Diceros bicornis minor: one gene and its partners. The protein of the gene in region 3 interacts with the protein of the main gene of each other region in a biochemical or structural test. Links are inferred from orthologs where the notes say so. Each region holds a gene or a part of one and is shown on either strand. Other genes may lie near its edges.

Region 1 (7,796 bases), on a different chromosome or scaffold from region 3:
TTTTACCAGTACCCAGTCACAAACACATGTGGAAGCCAGTCAATACTACATGAAATGGCTGAGTTTTTATTTTAATAAGTTTACAAAAGAAAGGCATACATGAATTTGAGGAACAAAAAAAATGTAATTCAAATCCTTTACATAACATAAGCAATTTGTATATACAGTATCAAAATATACCAAGATACTCTTCACACTAAAGTAATGGTTCTCAAGTTTTCTGGAGCATTGGCTCTCCATCAACTGCTGGATCGTGCCCCCAGAGTTTCTGACTCAGTTGGTCTGCAGTGGGACCCAAAACGTTGCATTTCTAATCAGTCCCTGGCTGCTGCTGCAGCTGCTGGTGTAGGAACAACATTTTGAAAACAACTCCATTACTACCTGAAAAGCACCTTTCTAATCTTGTAGGAGAGAATGATCCGGATCAGCATGAGCTATGGGATCAAGGTGTCTGCTGCAGAGTTAGGAGACATATTTCCCCACAATAGGTGTTTCTATTTGAGCTTCCTCTTGAGCTACTTGTCTCTTCATCTCAGGGTAGGGTTCAGAATTTTCCTTCCATGGAGGTAGTGTGACTGGGTGAGGCAGTCAAGAGATTTGTGCAAGGAGTCATCTTCCTCTTGTTCCTCCTGAGTAAGGGAGCATCCCTACCTCTGTTCTAAGTACCTGGGAATTCTTTGCCTTTCCTAATAGTGCCTCAAAGATCTCATTGTGCATGTAAAAGAAGATATACCCAGTGCAAAGCCTAGCCTTCTGCATCACAGACTCTTTGATTTGCGACACTTGTAAATCACTGTATGTGAACCAGGCCTGCCTCTGAAAGTCATAAACATCGCTGATGTAATGGCCTGAGTTTGGGGAGTGCCCGAGATGGCTGACCACACTGATGAGCCGGTAGGCATGAAGAGGATCTCCCATCTTGGCATTTCTTTTCAGTTCCCTGGCTTCAGCTTCTGTGTTCTCTGTATCTAAAATTTCTTTGCTTCCAGGGTTCTTGTCAGAACCCAGTGCACCAAGGGAATTCAGGTTAGCCTTCTGATGAATATTGAGGTCCTTCTCTGTGTGTTCCTGGGCATTCGGCTTCCCAATGCTTGGAGTCGGTTCCTGCTGAAGGAATTCCTCATAGATTCTCTTCCCATCATGCTGCTGGAGTTGTTCAGCCATTCCTTGAGGTCTTTCTGGAATCCTGTTTTCTTTATCCTCATAAAAATCTTCAGTAGTCTCAGTGACACTGTCAAAGCCTAACTCTATAAATGCTTTGGTTTTCTCATATTTCTTAAGTTCTGGATTGTCAGGTACCTCTTGAAGATGACTCTCTACAAGACCTGTGTGTGGGCTGCTGGTAGGTTTACCTCCACCTTCACAGATCATAGGAAGAGAACTATCTTCTTGATCCATCGAGTCAGCTGCTGGCAGCTTCTTTTCACTGACTGTCCTATCTCCTGAGTTTACCAGTTCTGACTCTATTACATTCAGTTTAGAACCATTTTCCAGGTCTGTCTGCTGCTGTTCTTGGCTTGACTCTTCACAGATTTTCTGATCATTTTGTGGTTCGGCATCCTTGTCTGATCCAATTTGTAAAGCCAGGGAATCACTGGATTCTGGGATCAACTTTACTGAAGGTGTCGATGGGCTGATGACCTCAGAAGTCATCTCTTGCGAGATTTTCAGGACTTTGGAGTCCCCAGTAGGTGCATTTCTACCCAAGAGAAGAGGTGGTTTGGTGCTATCATTGCAATGAGAAGATAAGCTTAAATACTTGGGAATATGGACTCGATGGTTATCCTTCACTAGCAACCAAACACCATTAAAGCTATATCGTTTCAGATGAACAATAAGGACCCTGGGAAGCCTACTGAATTTGTGCATTGCAACAGAACTCGTGTGCCTGCACCTCTTACAGTTATACTCAAGTTCTTCTGCTCTAAAGAAAAGATCAAAGGAATTTTGAATAGAGAAAGGAAGTGGTTTTGTTTCTTGGGGAAGGTTGATGGAGAGATAATTACTTGGTTCTGCCTTGAGAACAACCCAACCACAGCTTTTACAAATAATGGAGCACTGCAATTCAAACTCAAAATTAGCAACAACAGGACAAACAAATACTTTGGCGGCAGCATTACCAGCATACATGTGCGGAGATGAATTTTCATCCCCAAGTTCTCTCTCAGTCCTCAAAGTGCTGTTTAATTTTTCCATGTCCTCTTTCAGCCGATCTAAACAGTGACCTAAAAACTCATGAGCATCATTCTGCATGTTGCCAGAGAATGTCTCTGAAACCACTGAAATGGCACTTTTAATATTTACAAGTAACTCTTTCTTGGTCCGTATGTTACAAACATCTTTTAATACCAGTAACTGGCTGAAGTGCATAACCAGAGCACGGAATGGAATTTTCTTCCACGGGACACCTTGCATGAGTAAGTCATCCGCAAATGATGGAATCGCAAATAGGGACTGTAAAATTGCATTCATGTAACAGGTGTTTCCCAAATTGGGAAAGCCTTGCCATAGTTGTTCTGGGTGAGAGCCAAGAGACACCTGGGGTTCATTCCATCCTGGGTCATTCTGACTATATATTTGTTCTGATGGAAATTCCAAACTTCTTTTGGAAGAGAGAGGCTGGACTGAAAGAACAGGCTTATCTAGGCTAGGATTTTCAGGAGAGATGGTCCAGCACGGAGGTTCATATTTTGAATTTCTATTCCTTCTTAAATCTTTTAAATGCAATGGTTTCTTCTCATTGCTGCTTACATACTTAAAGGAATCTGCCTTCAGTTTCTTGTTTAGTATGGGGTTATTTTCTTCCTGGAGGCCCTCATTCATCTCTAGACCATATGATAGCGTTCTTTTCCACTTTCCACCTTGATTTCCTGATAGCCCTGTTGTGACAAGCATTGGTGATTTTAACATTAATGAAGGCACCTTCTGAGGGAAAGGTGTTTCACTTCCTTTTTCTATATTAAATGATCCATAATTTGGCTTGTCACAAACTTTGTGAAATGGAGTTTTGTCAATTTCTTTCTGTGTATTCCTGCTGTCAAAAACACCCCAATCATTATCAGATTTCATAGGTGATTGGAATTTGTTTTGATGGACTTTGTCCAGGAACATCTTCAACTGCTCAGCATCTCTGTAGGATAATTTGTCAATAAACAAGGAGCTATTATTTTTCAAAGTTAAATTCAGGCAACTTTGTCTCTCTCCATCATGTCTAAGGACCACACTTGTAATATTATTACTTAGCTGAAAAACCCTTATAAATTCTCCAGAGTTGAAAATGACCACCAGGCTAGTTTCCTTTTTTCCTTCCACTGTTTTGATGGATACTTCTCTAGATTTAGTTACCCCGGTCTTCTTGCTCCAAATTTGGATAAAACCATGTATCTTTAGAGGAGCCATCCTTTCTTTACAAATCAAACTCATGTAACCTAAATAAAAAAGCACACATATACACTTTAATCCAAAATTTATTGGATTAAACCAATATGGAAAACCTTATGTAATAATAATTTTCTTTTAGTCTTCTCCTTATGCCTTAGGTAAAAGACACTTTGGGGGAACTACTTATATTCTGAAGCTATGCCAATTCTTTAGAAGATGTAAATTCAGAACACATGCTTTTTCAAGGTAGCTGTTAGGAGGGGAGGAAGATGAAGGATGGCTTAAGTAGAGGATATATAATCAAGTGAGATTCATCCCTGGGGTGCAAGGATGGTTCAACATATGCAAATCAATAAATGTGATACATTGCATTAATAGAATGAAAGGCAAAAATCACATGATCATCTCAATAGATGCAGAAAAAGCAGTTGACAAAATTCAACATCCATTGATAATAAAAACACTCAACAGGGCCGGCCCCGTGGCTTAGCGGTTAAGTGCGCGCGCTCCGCTACTGGCGGCCCGGGTTCAGATCTCGGGTGTGCACCGACACACTGCTTGTCCGGCCATGCTGAGGCCTCGTCCCACATACAGCAACTAGAAGGATGTGCAACTATGACATACAACTATCTACTGGGGCTTTGGGGAAAAAAAAAAGGAGGAGGATTGGTAATAGATGTTAGCTCAGAGCCGGTCTTCCTCAGCAAAAAGAGGAGGATTAGCATGGATGTTAGCTCAGGGCTGATCTTCCTCACAAAACAAAACAAAACAAAACCTCTCAACAAATTGGATATAGAAGGAATGTATCTCGACAGAATAAAGGCCAAATATGACAAGCACACAGCCAACATCATATTCAATGGTGAAAAGTTGAAAGCATTTCCTCTAAGATGAGAAAAAAGACAAGAATGCCCCCTCTCACCATTCCTGTTCAACACAGTGCTGGAAGTCCCAGCCAGAGCAATCAGGCAAGAAAAAGAAATAAAAAGCATCCAAATCAGAAAGGAAGAAGTAAAATTGTCTGTTTGCAGATGACATGATCTTATATACAGATAATTCTAAAGACTTCACCAAAAGACTGTTAGAACTAAGAAACAAACTCAGTGAAGTTGCAGGATACAAAATCAATATACAAAAATCAGTTGTGTTCCTATAAACTAATGAAGAATTATCTGAAAAAGAAATAAAGAAAGCAATCCATTTACAATAGCATCCAAAACAATAAAATAGGAAGAAATTTAACCAAGAAGGTGAAAGATCTGTACAGTGAAAACTATAAGACATAAGAAAAAACAAATAAATGGAAATATATCCTGTGTTCATGAATTGGAAGAATTAATATTGTTAAAATGTCCACACTACCCAAAGTAATCTATAGATTCAATGCAACCTCTACCAAGATTCCAATGGCATTTCTTACAGAAATAGAAAAAAACCCTAAAATTCATATGGAACCACAAAGACCCTGAATAGCTAAAATAATTCTGAGAAAGAACAATGCTGAAGGAATCACACTTCCAATTTCAAACTATATTACAAAGCCATAATAACCAAAACAACATGGTACTGGCATAAAAACAGACACATAGATGAATGGAACAGAATTGAGAACCCAGAAATAAACCCATGTGTATATGGTCAATTAATATTTGACAAGGGAGCCAAGAATACTCAATGGAGAAAAGATAGTCTCCAAAAAATAGTGCTGGGAAAACTGGACACTCACATGCAAAAGAATGAAACTGGACCCCTATCCTACACCATTCACAAAAATTAACTCAAAATGGATTAAGACTTAAATGTAAGACCTGAAACCATAATACTCCTGGAAGTAAACATGAGGAAAAAGTTCCTTGACATTCATCTTGGCAATGATTTTATGGCTACGACACCTAAAGCACAGGCAACAAAAGCATAAATCAACAAGTGGCCAGGGGCCAGCCCCATGGCATAATGGCTAAGTGCACACGCTCCTCTGCTGGCAGCCCAGGTTCGGATCCCGGGCGCGCACCAATGCACACCCTGTCAGGCCATGCTGTGGCGGCGTCCCATATAAAGTGGAGGAAGATGAGCACGGATGTTAGCTCAGGGCCAGTCTTCCTCAGCAAAAAGAGGAGGATTGGCATGGATGTTAGCTCAGGGCTGATCTTCCTCACCAAAAAAAAAAAAAAAAAATCAACAAGTGGGACTACATCAAACTAAAAAGTTTCTGCACAGCAAAAGAAACAATCAAAAAAATGAAAAAGCAACCTATGGAATGGGAGAAAATATTTGCAAACCACATATCTGATAAGGAGTTAATATCCAAAATATATAAGGAAATCATACAAATCAATAGCAAAAAAAACAAATAATGATATGATCCAGCAATTCCACTTCTGGGTATATAACCAAAGGAACAGAAATCATTACTCTCTTAAAGAGATATCTACACCCTTATGTTCACTGCAGCATTATTTACAATAGCCAAGACTTGGAAACAACCTATGTCCATGGACTCACAAATGGATAAAGAAAATGTGGTATAAATATACAATGCAATATTATTCAGCCATAAAAAGAAGGAAATCCTGCCATTTGTGACAACATGAATGAATATTTAGGAGATTATACTAAGTGAAATGTCAGACATAGAAAGACAAATACTGTATGACTTCACTTATATGTGGAATCTGAAAAATCATAGAAACAGAGAACAGATTGATGGTTGCCAGGGGTGGGGGGTGGGGGAAATGGGGAGATGTTGTTCAAAGGGCACAAACTTCCAGTTATAAGATGAATAAATTCTGAGGATATAATGTACTGCATGGTGGCTACAGTTAACAATACTGTATTATATATTTGAAAGTTGCAAAGATAGTAGATTTTAAAAGTTCTCACCACACACAAAAAATTGTAACTATATGAGGTGATGGATGTGTTAAATAACCTTATTTTGGTAATCATTTTGCAATCTATACATCTATAAAATCCCTACGTTGTACACCTTAAACTTACACAATGTTATATGTCAATTATATCTCAATAAAACTGGAAAAAAGAACAAGAAAAAAAGTACATGCACCTCATGCCTGAAAACTGGATTAAATGTATGGGAATTTAAGTTGCGTCTGAGGCCCCATGGGTAGAACTTTAAGGGGCACTGAGGTTTATTCAGAATAGGAAGCAGTGGGACATGGGGAATGGATAGAATAAATTGGTGCCTGCTCAGAGTTTGTGTTATCAATTGGTGAGACTTTTTTTACATATGTAAATTGGCATATTGGTAGCAACAGAAAGACCCATCTCTTGGAATTACTTGGAGGGTTACAGGACAAAAACACATACAAAAAATCAAATACAGTGCCTCATCAAGAATAGGTACTTAGTGAATGTTAATTCTTCCCCCAGTGACTCCAAAGTTAGGAGCTGTATCAGGCCAAATGCTTGTTACTTACCTGGGCTATACTGAAGACTCAATTTGTTTTGCAAGTCCCTCTCAGGAAGCAACACCAAGGTAACGGTTCTATTTAAATCTGTAGATGAAAATATTCAAATAAGTGTGAAATTCCAAAGATCGTGGTTACAATTTCTAGCGAAGGAACTGATCGAGTAAATAGAAGGACATGGATATTAAGGTGCTGATGTGCATATCAGAGCACTTTTTTATATTGCCAATTTAATTTGGATCCCTCCTTCTCCCATTTGGAAAAACCCATGCCCCCACACCTGTCCTTAGCAGAGTGAGCTTGAAAAGAGATAATTGGGCTGGGTGGCATGAAAGTGAGCACTGACATCCTCAGAAGGTGCAGGGCTGGGCTAGATATAGCTCCAGGGACCATGTGGATGCCTCTGACCCCAGGAGCCCTGTGTGGGAGCATCTTCTACTTCCTGGGAGAAGGAGTCAACACCCAAGAGGCTGAGATAGGAAACAGACCTAAGAGAAGCCCACGTGACCCTTAGCTCTCTATCCAGAATGGTATTATTTCAACTGATCTTGCTGGTTTTGCCTCAGAGCTCGTATTCAGATTCTATTCAACGATGAAGCCAAAGCTAAAAGGAGAAAGGGAAGAAATTGAATTAAACTTACTAATGTTATCCCAGTCATGCCACTGAATTTAGGTAAGCCAAGGAGAACTTTTATATCAAGTTCTGAGTTTTTCTTTTTGTGGCATTTAATTTGGTTTATCTTAGTATAGATTAGGCGTGATGAAGTCAACTAACCAATCAAACCTGAGTTTAGTAGTTAGTGAGAAGATGAAGCTTAAAATCAGTTCTCTAAACATGTTTCTACTTGCTGAAAAGAAAAAAACCCAAAGTCTATATTTGGAGAGCTTATTCATAGATGTATACAACTTTCCATCTGTAAAATGCAGTTGTGTAGTTCTACTGGAACTAAATCTAGCTTGTTCACTCAATTATTTCACAATCCTGTC
Region 2 (7,896 bases), on a different chromosome or scaffold from region 3:
TCACTAACCAGCTCAGGAAGCTCCTCCTTATATCTAGCTTAAGTTTCTCCTGCTTCAATTCAAACTGGGAGAAAGAAAATACATGTCCACTCATCACCTATTTCATAAAAACTGTCCCTAAAATCCTGCCTCTTGCCCCTTGATCACCTGCTCAGACTTCCCCCCTTCAGACTAAATACATCAGCCTATCGCAGTGCCTTTTCTTCTCCACTTCAGTGACCACACCTTTGGAGTCATTACAGTCTCTCCTCCAGGAAAGTGAAGCCCACCCATGCAACGGAGGGGCACTTCCTTGCTGAAAGAGGATCAAGCAGAAGGGGCAACACACGTGGGTCCTCCCTTATCCCCAAGTCCTGACACCTTCTTCCTTCCTGAGACCACAGCCAGCCTGGTTTCTCTGGGGCCCCGAGCCAGTTAATGTGTTTAAGTGCTGAAATCTCAGTCCACTGGGCCCCTGCAGACAGGAGAGGGAGGGAGGCCCAGGGAAGGCCAGCTGTTGAACTGTCCTGGCTTTCAGCTGGGGCCAAGCCTCCCTGGGGCACAGGATCCATCCCCCTGCCCTCCTGCAGCCATCTTCCATTCTCGCCCCCTTCACCGAACTTGTCTCTAGGAAAGCATTTCCCACCAGCACACAACCAGACTGTAATTTCTCCATTCTAAAAGTAAAGCCCTCTTTCTACCCCCACTTCCCCTTTCAAGTCCAACCTCATTTCTCTGCCCCCCTTCACAGCAGGACTCCTTGTCTGTTGTCTGTACTGCTGTCCTCAAGTCCTCCCCCATCCCCTCCAATGACGGTCCCCCGCGCCCCCCAGACTGCTTTCAGCGTGGTCACCAGTGACCTCCACGTTGCTCCGCTCTCAGCCCTCATTTTGCTTGCTCTGTCAAAGGCGGCTGTCATAATCGCTCCCTCCCTCCTCCTTGGAGCACTTTCTGTGTTGCCGTCCAGGACACCCCAGCCCTCTGATTTTACCTCCCCTCTCACCGGCTGCCCTTTCTGTCTCCTTGGCTGGTCCCTAACGCTGGGAGCACCGGAATCCCCTGGTTTGACCTCTTTTTTCCCTATCACTCCATCTCTAAGCGAGCCCACCTGCTCTTCCAGCTTTAAATGCCAGCTAAATGGTGAGGACGCCCAAAATTTGTTTCCTGCTCCACCCTCTCCACTAAACTTTTCCCAGCTGCCTACTGGATATCTTCACATGGATGCCTAATGGGCATCTCAAACTTAACAAGCACAAAACCAAACTCCGTATCTTCCCCTAAACAGCTCCCATTTCAGTCAATGGCAGCTCCAAACTTCTGGATGCTCGGGCCCCAGAAACTCCAAGTCATCCTCGACTCCACCTTTCTCTCGCACCCCAAATCCTATCCACCCTACCTTCAAAATATATCCCAAATCTGAAACCGAGATTATGTCGCCACCTCTACGCCATGGGTACAAGCCCCCATGGTCTCTCCCAGAATGACAACAGTGGGCCCCTCACCGGTCCCCCCTTTCTGCCCTCACACCCTACAGTCTCTTCTCCCGCCACAGCCAGATGCACCTGCTGACCCCTAAGTCAGAGCAGGTGACTTCTCTGCTCAACGCCCTCCAGCGGCTGCCCTTGCACTCAGAGTGAAAACCACAGCCCTCGCCGTGACCTTCAAGGCCCCAGGCACTGGACCCCCAGTTCCCCTCTTACCTCTCTGCACTCATTTACTACTAATGCCCCACTGGCTCCTCACCACCCTGCTCCAGCCACACTGGACTCCTCCTTGTTCCTGGAACAGCCAGACCTGCTCCTGCAGGGCATGCTCCTGCCGGGGCGCCTCTGCAGGTGCTGTTTCCTCTGCAGAGCTCTTCCCTCTGCACTGTCCCTTCCCCCCCAGAGCTCACCCCTCCCTCCTTCAAGGCTTTGCTCAGTGGTCACCACCTCAGGGAGCCCATCCCTGACTAGGCAATAGAAAATTGCAATACCCACCCCAACACCTCATCTCCCCGCCTGCTTTATTTTTCTCCATGGTACTTCCCCCCACCTGACATACCATGTATTTACTTATTTGCCTGCTGTCCCACTCTTTTCTAGAATAAGAACTCCGTGAGGGCAGGGAGCTGGGTCTGATTTTTTCATTGCGATATCCCCAGTGTCTCACCGACAAAGATTGTGTGAAAGAATAAAAGAATGAATTAACCGCAGGTTCCAGAAGGCAGCAGTGGAGCCAAGGGGTGGAATCAGCAAGGCACAGATTTCAGCTAAGTGAGACGAGAGCTGCGGGACGCTGAACAGCCACCTCATAAGGAACGAGCTCGCAGTCCCTGAGCAAATGCAGCAAAGGGATCCTGCACCGGGTTGGGGGGAGGTGGGCTGGCTGGGGTCCCTTCCAGCCTCAGATCCCAGGGTGCAAATTGGCAAAGATCTGAGTAACCAACAAACTTAGGGGCGGAGCAATTGGGACAGGAGAACAGAGGCAACAGGGATGTCACTCTGGTCTTCTTCACCACAGCGTCAGGGGACAGGTGACACGGCAGGCTTGTCCCCTCTATGGGACGAGGATCCTATGGCCGGGAACAGCCCATGGGGAGACCAAGGCCATTGGCAGGGAGAAGCTAAGGGCTCAGAAAGAGGGGAAGAAGCGAGAACAGACCCAGAGCCAGGGGTCAGCTGGGGGAGGCTCTCCTCAGGGAGATTTGGGGGCTTTTTCATTTGTTGGAAAGCAAGCAGACCAGACGGCTGCTCCCCAACATGAGGGGCAAAGGAGAGGGCAAAAGACACAGAGAATCCGATGCTGGGCCGCCCCTGGTGAGGGCCTGTCTGGGCCGGCATGGGGAATGAGCAGGGTCTCCACACACACCAAGGAGGGGGAGGAGACTCCCATGGGGTGACTCCCCTGAGGCACTCTCTCGCTTACACCCACCCATTCACAGACATGGGGAAACTGAGGCCGGGAGAGAGGAAGGGACTCGACAGAGAGTAGCCTCTGCTGAGACCTGAAGCCTGGCCTCCTCATTCCCAGGCCAGCCCGGAGCTCAGGACTTCTCATCAAGCAGGCTCTCCCTCCACAGCCCCTCATCCCCAAATCACAGCTCTCCCCAGACCTCAAAGGCTCCTGGGGTCTGGAAGCTCCGCCCACATCCCCAAGCCCCCTGATCCTCTGTAGCCACGGCCCGCCAGGGGGCTCCCCATCCTCGAGACGCCCCCTTTCCTTCTACCTTCCATCTAGTCCCCGGGACTCCCCCAAGGGGAAACCGAGGCAGCCCCTCCCTAAGCCTGGCGGCCGGGCCGGCTCCGAGGCCAGCTGTCCGAGTCCCGGGGCGGGAGCCTGGGCGCCCGCCGTGTCCCCGCCGTCCCCGCGCCGGCTCAGGGGCACTCACCGCGGCCGCCACTCCGGGCCCCGCTCCGCTCCGGCCCGGGCTGCGCGGGCTCTCGGTCCGCCCGCCGTGCCCCCGCCGCGGGCCGGCCCTGTCCCCGGGCACCCGCCCCCGCTGCCGCCCACCCCACCCCTGCGCGGCCGGCCACGCCCCTGCGGTCCCCGCGCCCCGCCCCCGGCGCCGCCCCCGGCCGCCCCGAGCGCTCCGAGCGCCGGCGGAGAGCGGCGGGAGGGGGCCGGGCGCCCGCGGGGCGGGGCGGCTGTGCTGTGACCCGCCAGGTGCGCCCCTCTCAACCCGAGAGGCCCTCAGGACAAGTCGGGAAGTCCTCGGGCATCTCAAGCCTTGACGTTGTGGAGTCCCAGAGCCGCCGCCTCTGGAGCGGGCTGGGTTACGTGGTGGGCGAGGGCATCACAGTTCCTCTTTCTTCCTTGTCCTTGGCACCCTTCCGTTGGAGTTCAGGAGCAGCGTCTCGGTTCAGCGCTCACAGCGTCTCTCACACTGCCGGTCCTCCCCGCGGCAATATCTAACCAGAACTGGACAGCACTGTTTCCTTTCCATTAAATTAAGTCTATTTTATTTTATGATTTCCTATTCTTCCGAGCACGCCACACTGGTTTTCTATCGAAGGTATTAATATAAACGTTCCTTTTAAAACACTTGTATTTGGAAAATTTTAAATGGAATTCAATTTAAAGGAAAATCCTGACATTAACAAAGAGCTTACTATGTGCCAGGCTGTACACACCTTAACTCAGTTAATCCTATCTGCAGGGTAGTGACTATCATTATCCTCAGTTTATAAAGAAACAAACTGAGACACGGACAAGTGTGTTCGCCTGCCCAAGTAGTGACAGCAGAGCCAAGATTTGCCCCCAGGCGCCTGGCTCCAAAGGTTGTGCTCTAACCACTACCCCACACTGCCTCCAGATAAATACCTGCAGGGGGGTGCACAGTCGGCTGAGGTTGAAGGTTGAATGCTGCGTTCCAAGGATGGACACTACCCCAGGGAAATCCTGGATGGTGTACAGCTCTGTCTATGAGGATGTTCACCACCATCTTCTCTGTAACGGCGAAAAGCTGGAAGCCTCCTGATTGCCCAATAATAGGAGATTACTTAAGAAACTGACAGGGCAACTGAGCCTGGAAAACTTAACTGACTCATCTTCTCTCATACCCCAATCCAACCTGGGACCAAATTTTCCAGCTTGACCTTCAAAATATATCCAGAAGGCAGCTATTTCTTACTACATCTACCATTATCGCCTGGGTCCAAATCACCATGCGTCTCACCTGGGTTACGGCAAGAGCTCCTAGCCACTCTCCATGATTCCAGCTACAGTCTCTCTTCAACACAGCAGCCACAGTGAGCCTGTAAAAAACGTCAAATTATGTCATTCCTCTGCTGAAACCCCTCCAGTGAGTCCCATCTCAGAGTAAAAGTCAAAGAAATCCTTACAATTGCTGTTTGTGCCCAGTGCCCTCTCTGAACCCCTCCTCATTCTCCACTCATTCATTCTGCTCCAGCCACTGGTCTCCTGGCTGTTTCTGGAAAATGCCAAGCCTGCTGCCACCTCTGGGCCTTTGCATTTGCTCCTCCCTCTGCCTGGAATGCCCTTCCTCTAGAAATCTACATGGCTCCCTCCTTCTCCTCTCTCAGGCCTTTGCTTCAGTGTGACTTTCTCGGCGAGGCCTTCCCTGACCATCCTGTGTACAATTGCAGCCACTCCCCCCACATCCCTTTGCCTGCTTTATTTTGTATTTTTCTCTATTGCACTTATCTGTACACAACATCCTATATATTTAAGTATTTATCGTCTTTGGTGTCAGTCTCTCACACAAAAGAACATGAGCTCTGAGGAACAGGAACCTTACTATCTTGTTCCCTGCCTCATCCCAGGGCCTAGCATGGGGACTGGCATGCAATAAATATTTGTTATGTGAATGTACCACAAATGATGCTGTAATTCTAATAACCAATGAAAGTGAATGAACTATTGCAGCCTCACAAACATCACGTTGAGTGAAAGAATCCAGATGCAAAAGCATAATACTGTCCGATGTCATTTATATAAAGTTCAAAAGCAGGAAAAACTAAATTACAGGGATTGGAGCCAGGATAGAGGTTACCACTGGGGAGGAGGTTGGAGGTAGTGACCAGGAGGGGGACAAAGGGGATTTCTGGGGTGCTAGTAGTATTCTACGTTTTTTTTTATCTGAGTGGTGGCCACATGGGTGCAAATACTTTGTGAAAACTGATCAAGCTAAACACTTATGATATTTGCATTTTCCTTTATGCTTGTTATATTTTAATAGAAATTTATTTATTTTATTTATTTATTTTTGCGTGTGTGAGGAAGATCAGCTCTGAGCTAACATCCAACCAATGCCAATCCTCCTCTTCTTGCTGAGGAAGACTGGCCCTGGGCTAACATCCGTGCCCATCTTCCTCCACTTTATATGGGACGCTGCCACAGCATGGCTTGACAAGCGGTGCGTTGGTGCGCACGCAGCCGGGATCCGAACCTGCGGAAACCTCGGGCCGCCAAAGCGGAGCATGCGCACTTAACCACTGCGCCACCGGCCCGGCCCCTAGAAACTTATTTTGAAAAGATGCTATAGAGGCATGTTTATTAGCATACAGAAACGTCCATAGTATAAGGCTAAATTCATAAGGTAAGTTGCTTTTCAAGAAGAATGCCAAGACAACTCATGGGGAAAGAGTAGTGTTTTCAACAAATGGTGCTGGGAAAATTGGATAGCCTCATGCAAAAGAACGAATTTGGACCCCCCACCTCATACTATATACAAAAACTAATTCAAAATGGATCAAAGACCTCAATGTAAGAGCTGAAATATAAAAGTCCTGGAAGTCAGTCTAGGTGTGACTCTTCCTGACCTTGGCTGGGGCAGTGATTTCTCAGATGACACCTAAGCACAAGCAACCAAAGAAAAATAAATTGGACTTGATTAAAATCACGAACTTTTGTGCTTCAAAGAACACTATCAAGAAAGTGAAAAGACAACCAAGAGAATGGGAGAAAATATTTGCAAATCATGTTCAGAATATACAAAGGACTCCTAAAACTCAACAATGAAAAGACTAATGCAATTTTTTAAATGAGTAAAGGATTGGAGTGGACATTACTCCAAGGGAGATGTGGCCAATAAACACATGAAAAGATGCTCAACATCATTAGTCATTAGGGAAATACAAATCAAAACCACAATGAGATACCACTTCACACCCACAGAGGTGGCTATAATCAAAAAGATAGAAAACAACAAGTGTTGGCAAGAATGTGGAGAAGTTGAAACCCTCACACATTGCTGGTAGGGACGTAAATGGTGCTGCTGATGTGGAAAATAGTTTGGCGGTTCTTCAAAAAGTTAAACAGAGAGTTACCATATGACCCAGCAACTCCACTCCAGGGTGTGTACTCAAGAGAATGGAAAACACATGTGCACACAAAAACTTGTACACATATGTTCATAGCAGTGTTATTCACGATAGCCAAAATGTAGAAACAACCCAAATGCCCATCAACCAATGATTGGAAAAATAAAATGTGGTATATCCATACAATGGAATATTATTCAGCCATAAAAAGGAATGAGGTATTGAAACCTGCTACAACATAGACAGACCTTGAAAACATTATGCTAAGTGAAAGAAGCCAGACACAAAATGCCACGTATTGTATGAATCCATTTATATGAAATGTCCAGACTAGGCAAACCTGTAGAGACAGAAAGGAGAGTCGTGGTTGCCAGGGCCTGGAAGGAAGAAGGAATGGGGAGTGACTGAATGGGAACCAGGTTTCTTTTTGGCATGATGAAAATGTTCTGGAATTAGATCATGATGATGGCTACACAACCTTGTGAATATATTAAAAACCACTGAATTATATACCTTAAAAGGATGAATTTTATGCTATGTGAATTATATCTCAATAGAAAACAAGTGGGTTTCAAAAATGTTTTGTGTAGTATGCCCCTAGTCTGTAATAAAATTCTATGAATATGTGCATTGAAAAACCTAAAAGACTATCCTTCAAAATTTACTTACAACCGTAAGAGGATTTTTAAAACTCTTTTTTGCTAACCTGTATTTCCTAATAAGTATATGTTACTTGTATAATAATAATTTTATAAAACTTTTCAGTGAGTTAAGAGGCATCTATCAAAACCTCTCTGTGTTCAGGACCCTATACCAGGGACAGGCATTTGGGACCCTTTGGTGACATTCCTGTCCCCAGGTGCTCTGACCCAGGCACCAGCCAGGCAGTGCTCAGAAGGGGCAGGAGGACAAAGCTCCTGGGAATCCCCAGGCCTGGGACTTTTCCTCTTCAGGAGAAACCCTCCAGATTGTGTCATTTAAAGTTCTCCCTGGTCAGGAGGCTGGTGGAGGGACAGATCGCCAGTTGCCTGTGCCCCAGGGCTGCCCCAGGAGCTAGGACTATCTCTGGCAGGTCTGGGAGGGAGGAGGCCCTGCCCAGCATAGCTGCTGCTGCTGACACAGAAGGTCACCTGGCCTCACACCAGCCTCCATG
Region 3 (8,926 bases):
CTCTAGCTCCATGTTTTTCCCTAAGACTAACTGCTTACTGCATAATTATACTTGGAAATCTCTCAGGTACTTCTAGCTCAACGTGTCTAAAACTGATTTCCTTATTTTCTTCTCCCCCAACCTCGTTCCAGTCTTCCCTGCTTCTGTAAAGAGCATCCTTCTATCTGAGTTGCACAAGTGAGAAATCTGGGAATCATCCTTTACATTGCCCTTTCCTTTACCTCCTTCTTCCACAACCAGTCAATCACTAATCCTACCAACTCCATTTCTCAGTATCTCTCAAGCATATCCATTTATCTATACTCCTTATGCCACTATCCATACTGTTCAAACCACTATTATTTCTTGCCTTGACTACTGCAACATCCTCCTAACTTCGCACTTCTCAAACTTTTTCATGGCATGACACAGGTAGAAAATGATAATATTGTAAGATACTCCGGGATGAACTGGAAAGGATTTGGAGGTATCTATTTGGGGCTTTATTTTAAAAATTATTGCTTTTCTCATGCTATGTAATTTTGAAAAATAAATAAATACAAAGTATTAGAGACAATGTTAAACACTGAATTTGTATAAATATCAAATATAGTTTTCAAAATATTAATAAGAATTTTTAATAAACTTTCCTTTATAAATAAATTTTTAATATAAGATTTTATACTTGAAACACCTACTATCAATTCCTGATCAAGACTTTTTAAGGTGGATCTCTTCAAATTCTTACAGTAATCATCAAAAAGAAACTTTGTTCACACAAGGAAACCAAAAAAATGCTTAAATACTTTTACAATCATTTTAAAATTTACAACAGTTGAAATCATATTTAAAGACTCTAACAGCTCTTCTTCTTCTTTAAATGGCCAATGTAATGTTCAAATTTCTTGTGATATTATGAATGGATTTTGAAACCAGTTCAACTTTTTCATATCAAGTATTTCAAAATCAATGATGGAGATTTTATCTGCAGGACACATGGCACCACCAAAGCAGTTACCCTGCAGCTAGCTTGGTTGAGGCGGAAAAAAAGAACATTAGCTGCAAACAGAAGTTTCAGCTATATGCAATGTCAGAGAATGCCCTGAAGCTGCACCTGCCAGAAGCCTCTACTCCACTTTCGCAGGCCTACTCTTACTAGCCACATTGTTGGTACCTGGAACACAAATCCTTCCAGCAGCTCCATGGGCTGCAAAAGACCTAAGATGAAGATGTGGGGAGTAGAAAATTTGGAATGAACTCAAATATCAAAGAAATGCAGGAATTTGGGGAGCTGCTCTCCAGCAGTGTCACTGAATTGCTAAGGGGTTGGCTATCCTCTGTGTACTGCAGTTTTGAATATAGTACAGCAGAAAACTATTTCTGAACTTCCTGGAAAGAATAATATTTGATTGAGTTGGGCTAGTTTGGTTCTGGGACAAGCAGTAAAGACAGCACTTTCTAGGTATAGAGCTCAACCTGAATAGACATATGAATAATGAACATTTGTTGACTGTATACCCAGCAACCATTCCCTGCTTTGCCCTTCCTAAGAGTCTTCAGATTTTTCTTGTAGTTAGCAGCTCCTCCTTCTCAAAGTCCATGTTTTCTCAGTCCTGGATCTAAACTAAACAAGATATTTGCAACCTCAACTCTCCTGTTCCCCATTCCTCACTCAAGGGTACAGTTGTCAAGGGCTTTTGAAAAAGAAAGTTCTTTGCTCTTCTGAGATAGCTACCAAAAGATGCTCTCTGTTATTGTACTGGACAGTGTGACATGTCATATGAAAAATGAAACTGCTGGAACGTGCGTTCTCAATGGGGATGATATCACCTCCAAGGCGGTGAAAATTAAGGAGAGAAAAAAACAACACTTTTTATGTATAAAGCATAAATATGCATACAGTACATAAACAGATACACAGTATATCCGTGGTATTAAAACTTTGGGAAGGCATTTAAAACAACCTTAAAAGGCTCCTGGAGCCGGGGGGCAATAATGAAAACAAAAGTTGAGAAACACTGTTCTAGAGCAATGGCACATACCACAAAAGGCAGAAGACAATGGAAACTCAATTTTTGATGCTAACATTAAGTTTATGAATCAAGACACCTGAAGCCTCTTCTACCTCTTGACTTTCCACTTAACTAAGCCAATAAATCCCCTTTATTGTTTCAAGTATTATGTGTTGAGTTTCCTGTTACTTATAACAAAAGTGATACTGACTGATAAAATAGGAAACACTTTATCTAAAGTTAATCTAAATGTATTACACACGCCAATGCAACAGAACTTTAAAGTGGAACTATTTTAATCTGTTTCTGCTAAGTCTCCATGAAAACAGGTGCCAGGTGTCCTTATATCCAAAATGAGGCAAATAGGATGAGAATCCCATTTAGAACATTCAGAGATGTTGGGAAATGGATTTTGAAACTCTTGGCCCTCATCCCCTGGATAGTATAAAAGTGTTAAAATTGAAGACAGAGTTGAAGGTTAGAGTAGTTATTAGGACATTAACATGAGGGTGGGTGGTGGAGAGTGATCAAACTGGGAGGGACTTAAAGACCACTTAAATAGCTTGATATGTATCTCTGGAAATTTGTAGAGACACAATAGACTGGTGACTGAAGTTGACATGAAATTGTGACGTCCAAGCTTCCATCCTTAACTCATGAAAGCTGAAGAAGTTAAAGGGGATGCAAAGTCAAAACTGGGGTGAACTAAAATGGGTTCAGCTCCCTTCCCTCATTTCTCTGGATTCAAACTGTATTACTTAGGATTGTTTGATTGCAAGTGACAAAAATACAACTCGAATCAGCTTAAACGAAAAAATGGGAATTTACCAGCTCACATAATCAATCACAGAATGGAAGAGGTAGACTGCATTTGGGGGATGACTGGATTCACAGACATGAACATTGCTGGGATTTTATTATCAGAAGCTAGTGAAAAGGCACCATGCAGACCAAAAAAAGGGTGGTCTGCAAGCAAATAGGACAAGAATTGATTTTAAACTAGTATCAATATCAGAAGTCGAAATCAGTGGATAAAACACAAAAGTAGAAGTATTGGGGTAGACGGTCAAAATCATGCAGGAAATCCACTTTGAAATGCATTCAATCAAAAAAGATAAATGTATGTTTGTATGGGTGGATGGACAGATGGACAGGTATATGATAAAGCAAGTATACTAGAATGTTAATGGTAGAATATTCTTGCTAAGTACATAGGTGTTCACTGTAAAATTCTTTCAACTTTTGTATGTTTGATACTTTTCATAAAATGTTGTGGGAACACCAAGCAGGAGAACAACATCAGGGCTGTAGTGATTAGTCCCTTCTCAGCAGGATTCTAGTCCTAAACTGAAGGTATACAAAACAGATCTTGCACTCCAGGGAAACGAAGGACTGACAAAAGCTATTCATTCATCCAGAATATATAACAAATATTTCTTGAGTTCCCACTTGATAGCATCCACTGTATTAACATCAAGGTGGTAAAGAGAAATCAGATATGACGCACAGAGTGATAGCACAAGGTTAAGAGGTGACCATCCTAGTTTGGGAATTCAAGTAGAGAAATGACAGATAAAAATGGTTATCCCATTGACTTAATCTGGTTCTATTTGGTTATCAGTGCCCTAACCATCGTTTTACATGCAGAAATAAAGCCCTGATTTCCCACTTGGACAACTGAGTAGATGATGGGATCCTTCACGAAGACAGAAAATGCGCACGGAAGAATGTATTTGTGGTGGGTGGTAACTTCAATTTTTTTTTGGAATCTTCAAGTTTTGGTGTTTATGTTATATCTAAATAGAGATGTCCAATAAGTCCAGAATTCATGAAAAATTTGAGTAATGGGAGAGATTGGGAGTTATCATCATATAAGCAGTATAGGTGGTCAAGATCTTGGGTAAGATCATCCAGAGAGTGTACAGTGAAAAGAAATTATTCTTTCTTTCATTCTTTTATCCATTCACCAAACTATCATTGAGTGTTACTAGAACCATGAATGAAGAAAGACAATGTATTCCAGGAGTTCATAACCTCTTGATCGCCAAGTCAAATGACCTATTTGCTAACCCAAATGTGTTTAACTTACTTCTGTACAGCATTTATTTGGTTGGCTGCTCTTTAACAAGAAAGCTCTCCTCCAGTGATATTTGGATCATCATTCCCCTGACTATCTCCCTATCTGTTCCTTTTTGGTCTCTTACTGAGATTCAGATTTTGATATTCACAGGCTTTCACCTTGGGTCCTTAAACCTTCATTTCGAACTCCAATTTTCCCAGTTAGTCTTTAGGTCAAACCGACTAAATAAAAACTAACATTTAGTTTAAAACTAAAAACTGTGTTGATAGCACAACACAGGCAATACTATCCGGAGATATACTGACAGGTTCTACCAGCTTGTGAGAATCATAATTGTTTTAACCTCTCTGAGCCTAATTTCTCATGTCCTGAAAATGGAAAAAATATATATTATTTTGCAAGGCCTTTGTTAATGATTAAGTTATAAATGCACAGCATCTAGCACAGTGCTCTGCACTCGATACGTACTGTTAATATAACCCATAACTTCAGATGAACACAAATTATGCCAAATTACAAATATCTCCCTTACCTAATATTAACTTCTATTCGTGAGTACTCAGCCTTCGTAGTGTTATTCAGGTTACATGCAGTGGCTCGCTCTGTATTATTTGCTTTAGAATCTGATAGCGTCAAAGTAACAATAGCAACCTGGCTCAAAGTAACAGTAGCAACCGCTTCCTTCCATATACCACATTGAGGGAAACACATTTTCCAAGGCTTCTTAAAGAAACAGTTCTGCTTAGCTTACTTTTAGCTTAGCTGAAAACTAAGCTTCGTCACAAAAACTCAGTCCAACACCACCCCGTCCGTCTGCAGGTCTCTGAGAGAAGAGGAAGCGGGGCCTTAACGTAGTTCACGAAGCAAAGTTAAAAACGTAGCTTTTATCTTTCCCGCGGGTTGCTAAAGGACCAACCGCACCAATATCCCGTCGTCCTCCGCGCCACTTCCGTTCGCGCATTTTAATTACGACACTTCGTCAGCTCTCGCGGTATCATCCGGTTGCTGAGGCCCTTTAACAAAGATCTCGCGAAATTTGTTCTACAGGCCCAAGATAGCCTCTCACCCTCCCCTACCACACCCCCAACCTGTCCTTCCTTTCTCTGGCTCAATCACAAAATTCTCCCCTCCCCTCCCTTGAGCTCACGGCCCTCCTCCTGTTTCCGATTTCAGGCCGGAACCGGAAGTCTAGTGGGCGGGGCCCGGCGGCGGAAAACGCAGCGGAGCCGGAGCCGGGACTCGGCTGTGGCCGCTGCTTCTGTCCCCGCCGCGGATCGCCGTGGCTCCAGGCTGAAGGTCGGTCCGGAGGCGGGTGGGCGCGGGTCTCCCCCGGAGTGTCCGGGCGGCAGCCTCCCCGGGCCCCCCGGGCTCCACAAGGGATCATGTCTACAGCCTCCGCCGCTTCCTCCTCCTCCTCGTCTTCGGCCGGTGAGATGATCGAAGCACCCACCCAAGTCCTCAACTTTGAAGAGATCGACTACAAGGAGATCGAGGTGGAAGAGGTGAGCGAGGCCTGGCACGGGGCTCCGGCCCCGGCCTGTCCCCGCCTCTGCCTGGTCCCGACTCTTAAGGCGCCTCCCCGGCCCCTCTGATCCTCTGGGCCCCGCAGGGTCCACCCCGGAGTCCCCACAGAGACCGGGTATAGAGGGAACTCTCCGCGTTCAGCTGCTCCCCGATAGCTCTCTTTTTTCCTCACTTCGGCACTCTTGAGTTTGGATTTGATATTCTGGTGCCTGGATTTGGGTCATCTCAAACAGGAGGATGGACTGGTGAGGTAGTGTGGTCCACCAGTTCCCATGTCTCTAAGTAGTAAATTCGTCAAAGACCGTGGCCGTTTTGGAGTTTCAGCTCACTACGACGTGGTGTTCTTAAGGACCAAGGATTGTATTCTCTTCGACTCCTAGCTCGGTGCCTAGAACGTAGTGGATGCTCAATAAGTGTTTGGTAAATTAGCACATCACCATGTCTAGTAAAGTGTTTCCCCGGGTACCGAACGGTTCTGTTTCGCTGTTTCCATAGAGCAGTAGCTGTAATATTAAATGTTCTGCCATCAATTGGACTAATTTAGATGAATTTCACCATTAATAATGTAGACTGGTCTAGAAGGAAAGATGTCTCGAGTAGCATGTTCTGAAGAGCCAACTAATGATTTCGGTGACAACCAGAACATAACAGACAGAAATCGCTGTTAGAAAATCCGAATCCATCCTTAAGTTATTTTAGAGCAAAGTAATATGTGCCTTTAATACGTCCCTTCTTTTCAGATTCACAGAGAAGTAGACTGTTTCTAAGAACCATAAAATTTAGAAAAGTAAAAACTATATGTTTTAAAGATACACTTCAGAAAGTGTTAAAACTTTGGTTGAAAATAGTATCTATCAGTTACCATTTATTTATCATTTTTAAAATATATTAAGCACTTTACATAACGTATGCCATAAAGAACCCTGTATGTTCTCTTTTGTAGACTCTCAAAGAGTTATCTCTACTTTAAAAGTTCAAAATTATTTTTAGGTAGTGGCAAACTAAAAGTAATGGGATAGTTATCATTCAATAAATAAATTTTTTTCTATGCGGGTTTTGGAAGAATAATGGATTACTCAGTCGTATTTTTTTATTGCATAAAGTAACCTTAGAGATCACTGAGAACAACCTCATTTTACAAGGTAGTGTAAGTGGGAAGAGTGAGGCCTTTAAAGTTAAAGGAAGGTTCAGAATATCAGCTATGCCACTTATTAGCTGTGTGATTTGGAGCAAGGTTCCTAACTAACCCCTTTGAGCCTTGGTTTCCATAACTGTAAAATAGGGATAATAATTTCTATTTCATTTTATGTGTATAATAGATCCTATTAGGCAATATGTGCAAAACACAGTGCTTGACACATATTACTAAGAAACAGTTCCAGAGAGGAACATTGACCTGCTTTAAGGTCACATGGCTAAAAGAAGGACCTGTGTTTTGAAAAGGGGGCAATTTGTGTGTGTGTGTGTGTGTGTGTGTTTTCTATTGAGGCTAAATTCTATTGAGGATAAATTCCTTTTTCAGAAGTGGATAGTTGATCCAGCTTTCGTGGCTAACATTCTTTCTTTTTTAAGAATAAAAATTCAGTGAGTCAGTATAAAAGAATTGCAGTTTTTAAATAAGCATTTACGTCTACTCTGTGGCGAACTGCTGTGCTTGTAGACTACAAATTGTTATATAATAATAACTTGTGCTTCATAGTCTACCAAATGCTTTCACAGACTTACATTATTTGAGTCTTACAAGGTTGGTTTTCCACACACTACTTTCTAAAGCGTTTACCTTCTTGCTTCTTGGAAGAATGAAAGTTACTAAGGAGACAATTATCATTTTGTTGCTCTTCCACCAAAGCCATTTAACTTCTGATTAGATTTTTATGTTTCCAAAGACCCTCTTTCAGTTTAGACAATGTTTCAACCCGTCTTTGGTATATTTAGGACATTCCTGGGGAGTAGATTTTTGGTTTTAGATGAAAATTTCTAATATTAGACAGTCATTTAGCTGTGTTTTTTTCATTTTTTAATGCCAGTTTATTTTCACTTTAAAGATTGAATTTGGATCTTTCTAATGTTGAGACTATTACATAATTTCCATCATCATTTGCATACATTAAAACAGTGTTATATGATCCAGGGTTCACCGTGGGCACTCGGTAACTATTTCTCAACTTAGAATCTGCTTCTAGGTTAAAATCATGAATAAGAGAATAGAGGAAGATGACCAGAAACAAAAAGTATTTTACAAGGTTTGCAGTATTTTGTATGGTGCAAATATATTGCCTATAAATAAAGAAAATTGTATTCTGTATTTTTCAGATAACAATGTAATTGAATCAGCGTTATATCAATTCAGTTAGAAACTATGTAAGAAAAAAACTCCAACCACAGACCAAATTTGCAGTCATTTGGTAGATGCATATTTTTTAGGCATCAGCTGATTTTAATCCTTAAATTCCTAATGTTGTGACTCAGTAATATCAGCATGACACTTCCTAAATTCAGTTCTGATATCCAGTTATGTAAGGTCTCAGCCTCAGAAACATACGTAGATTTTTTTTTTTTTAAATCATTTAGTTTTTACCATTCTGGATCAGAGTGTAGAAAATGTTAGAATAAATTGTAAGGTATGTACATTGGGGACTAGGTTGCAAGAAGTGGTAAGGGCAGTGTGGAGTGGTGAAAAGTGTACTGGGCTGGATATTTAGAAAATGTAGATGCTGTACTGATTCTGCCATAATATATTTCAGTAACTTTGAGCAAGGCACTTCAATTTTCTGGGTCTCTGATTTCTCACATAAAATGAGGGATTGAAGAAGATCATTTAAGGTCTCTTCCAGTTCTAAAATGAAAACACATTTATTGTTTGCTGTATTTATGCTCTATTTCCACAGTAAACTTTGACAGTGATCGTGATCTCCTGTGGAATGTAGTTGGTGACCAACTAATTCTGGTTAGGCAGGGCAAATGGTATCCCCATTTTGCAGATCTTGACAAGGGGTCAGAGTTTGATTTGCCAAATCCTCACGCCTAAGTAAATGGTAGAGCTGGGAATTGGACTTGAGATTTCTCACTTCTGAGTCAGTTGCTCTTTCCACTGGATTTATTTACAGTGTTGTTTTAGTTTTTTCTGAAATATTTTATAACCAAACCTTATTTTGAGAATGGGGAAACAAAATACTGATTTCCTTTATAGTAGTTAGTTCTAAGCATTTAATGAATAGTCTCCTCAGTGCACAATACTGCTTAGGTACTGTGGAAGATGAATAGAAGAATTCTAGGATTCTCTACTTAAAATTTTTGACTTATTGTGAGACTAGAATAAACACAGAGCAGT

Evidence for each region.
Region 1: the proteins of MAP3K7 (region 3) and USP29 form a complex in vitro, tested with the Homo sapiens proteins (2 studies listed by BioGRID). The link is inferred for Diceros bicornis minor from reciprocal best matches to the Homo sapiens genes MAP3K7 and USP29.
Region 2: the proteins of MAP3K7 (region 3) and NOD2 form a complex in vitro, tested with the Homo sapiens proteins (2 studies listed by BioGRID). The link is inferred for Diceros bicornis minor from reciprocal best matches to the Homo sapiens genes MAP3K7 and NOD2.

Annotation. Positions count from the first base shown.
Region 1 is NC_080773.1:35,252,112-35,259,907, reverse strand, and holds USP29 (ubiquitin carboxyl-terminal hydrolase 29), read right to left. Parts: upstream 3,400-7,796; coding exon 610-3,399; 3' UTR 568-609; downstream 1-567.
Region 2 is NC_080771.1:4,259,023-4,266,918, reverse strand, and holds the start of NOD2 (nucleotide-binding oligomerization domain-containing protein 2), read right to left. Parts: upstream 3,400-7,896; 5' UTR 3,350-3,399; intron 1-3,349. UniProt on the Homo sapiens protein: Pattern recognition receptor (PRR) that detects bacterial peptidoglycan fragments and other danger signals and plays an important role in gastrointestinal immunity.
Region 3 is NC_080762.1:42,349,119-42,358,044, forward strand, and holds the start of MAP3K7 (mitogen-activated protein kinase kinase kinase 7), read left to right. Parts: upstream 1-5,273; 5' UTR 5,274-5,453; coding exon 5,454-5,573; intron 5,574-8,926. UniProt on the Homo sapiens protein: Serine/threonine kinase which acts as an essential component of the MAP kinase signal transduction pathway. Plays an important role in the cascades of cellular responses evoked by changes in the environment.